2 linked regions of the Nothobranchius furzeri genome follow. The protein of the gene in region 1 purifies or fractionates together with the protein of each later gene. This does not show direct contact. Links are inferred from orthologs where the notes say so. Each region holds a gene or a part of one and is shown on either strand. Other genes may lie near its edges.

What was found. The genes of interacting proteins can lie anywhere in the genome.
Region 2: the proteins of kif3a (region 1) and kinesin-associated protein 3 purify together in Homo sapiens (co-immunoprecipitation; 9 studies listed by BioGRID and IntAct, counting the BioPlex papers as one, with this or other methods). This does not show direct contact. The link is inferred for Nothobranchius furzeri from reciprocal best matches to the Homo sapiens genes KIF3A and KIFAP3.

Annotation. Positions count from the first base shown.
Region 1 is NC_091741.1:97,907,735-97,911,383, reverse strand, and holds part of kif3a (kinesin-like protein KIF3A), read right to left. Parts: intron 3,480-3,649; coding exon 3,323-3,479; intron 3,248-3,322; coding exon 3,067-3,247; intron 2,631-3,066; coding exon 2,520-2,630; intron 1,593-2,519; coding exon 1,467-1,592; intron 1-1,466. UniProt on the Homo sapiens protein: Microtubule-based anterograde translocator for membranous organelles. Plus end-directed microtubule sliding activity in vitro. Plays a role in primary cilia formation. Plays a role in centriole cohesion and subdistal appendage organization and function.
Region 2 is NC_091751.1:58,727,837-58,732,075, reverse strand, and holds the start of kinesin-associated protein 3, read right to left. Parts: upstream 2,922-4,239; 5' UTR 2,789-2,921; coding exon 2,760-2,788; intron 1,494-2,759; coding exon 1,362-1,493; intron 1,230-1,361; coding exon 1,069-1,229; intron 933-1,068; coding exon 871-932; intron 773-870; coding exon 631-772; intron 553-630; coding exon 453-552; intron 376-452; coding exon 251-375; intron 149-250; coding exon 50-148; intron 1-49. Other genes in the region: pdca (phosducin a), read right to left, coding at 4,015-4,203. UniProt on the Homo sapiens protein: Involved in tethering the chromosomes to the spindle pole and in chromosome movement. Binds to the tail domain of the KIF3A/KIF3B heterodimer to form a heterotrimeric KIF3 complex and may regulate the membrane binding of this complex.

The DNA.
Region 1 (3,649 bases):
ATCCAAACAGCAGCAGCACCCCCCCCCCCAAAACCATACCATTTAACTATAAAAATCGGGCCTAAAGTGCATAGGGTGCAGGTCTAGCGTCACCTGTCAATGTTTTCTTCTGGCCAGCTTGGGTCCTGCGCCTGTCGATGACATCACACTAGCTGATTGGATGGACATGCGACTTACGGAAGTTATTTTACCATGTTCAAAACCATTGAAGTACTAAGAAACATGAATTTAATAACAAAACTGCTAAACTCATTCCAAAACATACATAAAATAGAATTGAAAAAGAGATGCAATAGACTACAATTGCACTGCAATCTCTAAAGCTGGGCGTACACTGTGCGACTTTTTCACTTTTTTGAGCCGATTTTCCAGTCGTGCGAGAATCCACGAGATCGGGGCGAGTTTTGCGCCGAGCGTCGTGTAGTGTACAGGGGGTAACGAGAGGCGATTAACACCACGTGACCAGCTACCAACCAGCAGTCGTGAGCTCGCACAAACTTCTGGCGTGTTTGAAATTTTGCTCGTCCCTCGTGAGGGCATCGCACTGTTGAAGCGGTGCTGCGAGCAGCTGCGACCCAAAAAGTATCAGAACCGCTCATGGCGAATGCGCAATCCTGCATCAACACCGCTCACCCGCTATTTCCCTAATAACACACGCTGTTTGTTTTTATTTCTACACGTTTTTTTACTCACAAAGATTGTCAAGAAAGCGTGTTTGTCGTGTTCATGTCAAATTAAACTGATCACATAACACAGATTTACTTTCTTTATTTCGTTTTCGTCATCCAACCCCATAAATCCCTGTGTGTCCTCCTGCAGCACTCCTGAAGGACAACAGGCAAAACAAGACAAAAAAGTCTGACGTGTTGAGTAAAAACTGCTATTTTTAGCACATTTTTAGGGCCGACGTGTTGCTTCCAGACGTACAGTGTGAGCAGTCAGGTCGCAACCGAGAAGTGGGTCGTGCAGTGTGAGCACATGACTCGTGAGATCTGCTCTGCGAGGAAGTCGTACAGTTTGAGCTGAAGCTGAGTGCTACGAGTGAAAAAGTTGCACAGTGTCCGCCCAGCTTTATGGACTTAACTGAAGGACTATCAAAGTCTGAGGAGTCACGCCAACGTTGCATGCTTTCTGCTCCACAGGTAACATTCAACTGGAATGTTTTTTAAACTAGTGACAGTTGGGAAGATATGGTGTAATATTACCCTGAACTGTTTGTATTACTGCATCCTAGTGGCAGGAAACTACACCCTGCCACTTTAATACGGTTTTACACATGCCACTCAAAGGAATTTTGCCTCTGGTCGCCTTCATATTTGTCGGCCTTAATCACCCTCTATGTGGTTTTCCACCAGCTAGTAATGGTGTTTTAATAGCAACAATGCTAAATACTTTAGATGCGTTCCTGTTGCAAACTAAAGTCATTCAGGCATTTCAAAAAGTGCACGTCAGGAAAACACACACACCTGGTATTCCTGGGGGGTAAAGTTGTCTATGACGAGCATCTGGAGCCGCAGCTCTCGGCTCAGCTGGCGGATGTTTTCCAGGAGGCCCTCGATCTCTCTGCTGTTCTCTTGTCGCAGATCTGCCATCTGACAAACAAATAATAGATAACATAAATTAAGTTATCGATGAATCCACATGAATTCATCCCTGATCAATCAAAACTATACATAATAAAAAGGTCAGCACTGCTCTCTGGTACTGAGGAACCTATGGCTCTTACACATTAGCGTTGGCACGGTCGGGGTTTGGTCTGGCTAGATGGCATGAGTGCGGTCTTGAACGGGCGGTGTGGTATTCACATATAAATCTGAGGGACTTCTCAGGAATGCCTGCGGGCGACATTTAATACACGCGGGAAAGTCCACGATACCCGCCATTATAAGTTAAACAAAGGCAGGCATGAGCTGCGTTGCTTTTGGAAACTCGGAACCACATTATTTGCTGTGTGTCCTCATAATCTTGTGACACACACACACACACACACACACACACACACAGAGGAGAGAGAGGGAGAGGGAGGGAGAGAGAGAGAGAGAGAGAGAGGTTTACTCAACAGCATCCAGCATGAAAATGAATCGCGCATGGGAACCCCCCCCCATGGGTGTAATTTCAGCCTGCCAATCAGTCGGTAGTGTCGCCTCGGTCCCAGTCTGTCCACTGGGGAGAAGGTCTGACCCCCCCCCCCACACACACACACCAAAAGGAACAAGTACACACTTGTTATTAAGCACAGGACATGCAGACTAAAAATATTTTTAGCATCATTGCTTTGGCACCCCCTCCAGCCTGGGTCCCCTATGCATCACATACGTTGAACACCCACTTTTTGCGCCACTGAGTCTGAGCACATTTGGTTCCTCTGTGTTTTATAATGTAGCACAGTTATGGTCTGGCGTGAGCATTTAGAGCTGGTAGGGGCTGACATTGAGTGGTATCCCAGCTGAGGTGTTGATTTGAAGATGATGAGGTGAAAGTTAAGCTACATGAAATGAGGTTTTATCTGTTTTGCTTACTTCTGATTTAGCAGCCATAAGCATGGTCCAGACTTTCTTCAGCTTCTTGGTCTTCCCTTGAGCCTCCTCCTGCAGGCTGGTGTACTTCTCTTCTATGTCTAAACGTTCTTGCTGTTTTAAGAGGAACAAAAGTCACAGATCACACCAAAAACAAGATTCCATTACAAACTATTACAACCTTGCACCACTGCACCATTCTCCATCGTTATTAAATGAAACAAAGGTTTTAACCCCTTTTCTAACCAAAATGTGAAAGCAATTTGACTGAACTGTGTGGTCTGTGGCAGCATGGTATCACATCCTGTCTGCTCCTGTGCAGGATGGTGGTGAGGCAGCAGGCTTATGGTAGAAGACATGGGTTTGTCTAGATTTAGCAAGATAATTATTACCGGTAAACAAGTCAACGTTTTAATAAGCTTTACTGTAAAATGCAGCTTAAAGTTGGCGTTATTAATAAATGACTATTTGGTCACCTGCTCAGATTTCTAATCTGTAGATTATTGTGTAAATGAATTTGCATTTACCGAGCAGACAGCTGGTTTCATACCTCCTTCTCTTCAAGCTCCTTACGCAGCTGCTCGGCTCTCTTGCGACGTTCTTCGAGTTCATTGTTCGATTCATCCAGGAGCCTCTCCTGCTCCTCAGCCTTGGCCAGAAGGTCCACTCCTCCCACTATCACCTTCTTCTCTAAGGCAGATAATTTCTCTAAGAGAAGCTGATGCTCCTGCCTGAGAAGTTTAGATTATTAATGAGTAACTTCCACAAGTATTCAACAACATGTTGGTTTATTTTTGTCAACTCACTGGGCTTTAAAGAGGTCCTTCTCCCTTTTCTCCAGCTCTGCTCTGGCCTTGTTCCTCTCCTCCTCCTCCATGTCCAACTTGGCCTCTAACGCTTTTCTCTCTTCTTCTATCTTTGCCTGCATCTCCACCATCTTGCCTGGAGAAACCTTCTTCTTTCCTGATTGAAGAAAATGACAAAAAATACAAAATGTTCAAAAATGTCTTCTCACGATTTAGAAAAATTGAAGAGAGAACCGAGATCATGCTTATATCAGAGCGACTGAAGCAGACAGCAGCCACCTTCGTGTTTGTTGACTACTCCAGAGCTGGGATCACTTCACTGGCTAC
Region 2 (4,239 bases), on another chromosome or scaffold:
TAAGAGGTTTTAATCCCATGAAAATTTAAAAGGAAAAATCCTGTTTCACCTCTGAGCAGCTGCTCCTGCTTAGCCAGAAGGGCTTGGTATTTTCTCAGCGTTTTGTCCTGGTCTCGTCTTAAGGAGCCATTTTCTGGCGCAGACTCACGTGCACAAAAGATAGTCAAGGGCAACAGAAACAATACAGAAGACCTCAAAAAAATCGATCATCTTAAATTAAATGGACAAAATGATAGCAGAAAATGGATATAAGCTTTGTTTTTCTTGCGTAGCTCCTCACGCCACATGTCATGCCTCTTCAGTTCATGTTCCACCACACTCATACAAAGCGCTCCGATTTTATAGTGACTCACTGCAGCGTGAAACTGGGAGAAACTGGAGGAAGGGATGTGAAAGGATGAATCATTTAGAAGTACTGAAGGACCATCACGCCAGCTGTGCATCAGGGTTACCTTGAAAAGCAGAAGAAGATGTAAATGATAATAGTAGCAAGCTCTACGCTCTGTTTCCAGTCCTCTCTCAGAACCCGGGCCAGCGCACCTAAAGCTGCTTCTGTAGACACAAACAGGGAGAAATTCACGCTAAACAACTAGAGGATGGCTGCGTAAGCATGTTGGAAGGAACATGTACCGTTGTAAAGCAGCTCCTCCAGGTTATCTGGGTTACGGGCGAGCTGCAAAATGAGACCAGAGCCTCGGATCTTCTCTGGGAGGCCTTCATAAAGCAGCTCAACATACTCATCCATCTTTGTTATGCTAGCTTCCTCGTTCAACTACACACGAAAAATAAATAAAACAACAAAGAAAGAAACACACACTGTTACACCTAACACAACGAATGAGGAATGAAACGAGTACTTAACATCATTACCTCCGTTCCCTCAAATGGTGTCAGATCTTTAGGCTTCACTGTTTTCTTCTCTTTCTTTTCCACTAAAGGCAAACAAGAAAAGCAGTGAATGTTTTACATCCTGCTTCTTAATGTCACTGTGCAGTTAGTCCCTCTCATACTTTATTGGTGTGTTTGAACAATAAATCAGAGCTAACAGGTAAAAGCTTCTAAACGTACCCCCTTTGGCCTCCACTGGGGAGGATTTCCTGTTCTGTAGGTAATAAAGCAGCTGCTCCACCTGTGGCAAGCGGGAGGCGGGGATGAGTTTACACTCCTCTACCACTTTCCTGGCCAAAGCGGCCACATCTGTAGTAGGAGAGAGGCTTTTCACGCGGATTCTGAAGGGGAAAGGAGAAGGATGACACATAACATGTTACATAAACCAGCAAAAACTGCCATTAACTGGTTATTTCTAATAAGATAAAGAACAGGGGCAGATGCTGTCAACGATAAATTAGGAGCTTACTCACATTTTTTGTCCCTCCTTGCGTTCACCCAGCATCGGACCTCCATTCTCCCCCAGGATGGATGCCTCCACCTCATACTGGACCACAAGGGCTTTCTCAGTGGGATGGACATCCAAACTGCCTGCAGTCACTTTTCTATGAATGATAATAAACAGTTTACGCCTGTGGTTTTAGTTTCCAAAGTAAATCTGAGTTAAATACAATTATTTCCATAATGCAATTTAAAGAGCAAGTCACCCCCTACAAGAAACTTACTTCACTCCCTCTTCATGTTTGAAAAATGCAACAAATGCTGTTGCCTAGCAGACCGAGAGGGCGGAGCCACTAACAAATACACACACACAGGCTCACAATGGCATTGTGACATCATAATAGACCAGTTTACATCATAGCATACCTCTTAGCCAATAGCGGTGGCAGATTTAAATTCAAATGCAGTGCAGAGTTTTTACCTGACAACAGCGCAACACTGACAGTTTTAGGCAGAATATTTAAATTTTAACTAAGATGCACTGAAGTATCAAATTATTGACGACACGTGTCTGCAGCACAGTTAGTTACACATTTATATAGTTTATCAGCAAGAAAAAGTTGATTTGGGGGTGACTTGCTCTTTAATGTTGAATGCAGTAATAAGCTCTTGGCAGTGACAGCTATTTTTATTATATGTGTTCCTGGATCAAAAGCAGTAGGACACGCCCATGCACAAACATAACAAAGACTGCTTTTATTTAAAAAAAAAGCTAAACCTCGTCAGCTACAACACTGAATCAAATGTCCCGTGATAAACCTAGTTAGTATGATTTATTATCCGGCTACATTGTTTTTATGTTTAACAGAATCTTCAGGGTTAGCAGGAGCCCAGATTTCCCAGCATTCCTTCCTCTCTGGAGCAGTTCCACTGATTATTACAGTTAACAGGAGGATTGCGACTGAAACGTTTCTTCCAGAAACAGATGCAAGAAAAAGCACATGATACTAAAATCCTGTTGTTGGTCTCTCGTTCTGATGAGCTAAACGCTAACGAAGCAGGGGGCGGTGATTGTAGAAATGCTTTTCAGGAATAGTGTATCTTATAGGTGACAGCTGTGTGAAATTCGTTTATGCCGAATGATTTCGTGGCTCGGGATAGTTAATAATTGCCTATATTCGAAATAAACAGGAATGGTCCAATCTTCAGTCCAGCGTCGGAACCTTAAATTCCCCTAAATTTTAAACAAGACATCGGGTTCAACCTCCAAGCATACAGCTGCACACTAAAACTAGGACGAATTCAAATTAAAACAATAATTAAAACACTCTTACGTCTCACCCAGAGATTATTACTTGTCATCCCTAAAATTATATCAACATGGCTAATTTCAACGGCCAGTACGGTTCTAGCCGCACCTTTCAACTCACCGTTTGAGGTACCGCGCGTCATCCTGCATTTTCTTCCGATTTATGGCTTCAAATTTTTAATTTAACAATTTAAGATCACCTGAAGGATCTCCTGGACAAATAACAACCATTCGAGTCTTTTATTTATCCTCTAAAGACCGCTGAACCTCAAGGTATTCTTTTTCTACTTAACAGGCAGCCTTTAGAGAACACTACTGCCCCCTAGTGGACTGGTTATAGAAATATATGATTCCAACTCTAATGATGTAATTAAGTATTTATTAATTTAAAAAAAAATAAGAAAAATTTGGCTAGAAATATATAATAACTTTACTTTTTACACTTTCATATTTTGTGTGTGTCTTTTTGGGGATAAAAGGTTTAATCTAATATTTACTCCTTATCCTATGTTGCTATTTTGTGCATATTGTTTTGGGGTCAGATTTTTTATTCCTTTAATGCCTCTATGAACTGGGATGCACATTAAGCTTCCAGCTGTCACTCTGAGAGGAGCTTAAAATTTGTTTTGTCTAAAACCTGGACTATATTTGACTTGTTTTGAGATGGCAAAACACGGATGCTGATAAAAATGCTAAATAAACCAGAACATTTAGAACGCTTTGTTCTCACTTCAGAGCCACTCGGATTTAATGTATAAATATTATCAGTGCTTCCTAAATTACTATTACTTTTTTCATTTAACCACCTCTATACTGAGAGGATGTAATACTTGGTAGTGCACAGCAGAATTTATTATTTTTCCACATAAATAATTTCCACGTTCCCAAAAGACATCAGTTATCTTTTCCCTCTCGACAGTAAAGTCCTCCTGGTTCCTCTGTGCCTTTATAATCACTCTGAGAGCAGAAAGGTCAATTTCCACATGAGTCTCATGACTTTAATTTAGCTTAAACCACATATTCACATCACGTAATGCAAACCATTACACAAGCCTTTTAGTTAGAGGAATTATATTTTCATGGTAGCAGCAGCATAATGTTCCATATGTTGCATCTTCCTAATCTGGAATTAATGCACATGGAAATAACTTCCTGTTTTCCATTTCAACAGACAGAAAGAGTTCGAATAAATATCTTTTATTGGAGTGCAATGATACAAGTTTCTGCAAAGCAGGGTTTCTGTACGGACTTCCTCACGCCTACATTCTAAGGCATCAGCATGAGTATTGTTGACTGTTGGGTGCTCGTTCTTTAATTTGCGTGCATGTGACCTGATTGAAACACGTTTTATGACATTCTCTGTCTTTCTTCATCTTCTACTCCACGTCTGCTCCATCGTCTTCATCATCCGCACACGCAGTGAACTCCTTCTCTGGTAAGAGGCCGTATTCATTGAGAAACGCCTCCACATCTGTGGCAAAGAACTCTTCATTGAGGTGTTTGGTGACAGCCAGGAAGTTACCCAGTAACTCCCCGGCCTTGTAGACCAGCAGGGTCGGGAGAACCTGAGATGATTGAAACAATAATCAGATTGTTTCAGA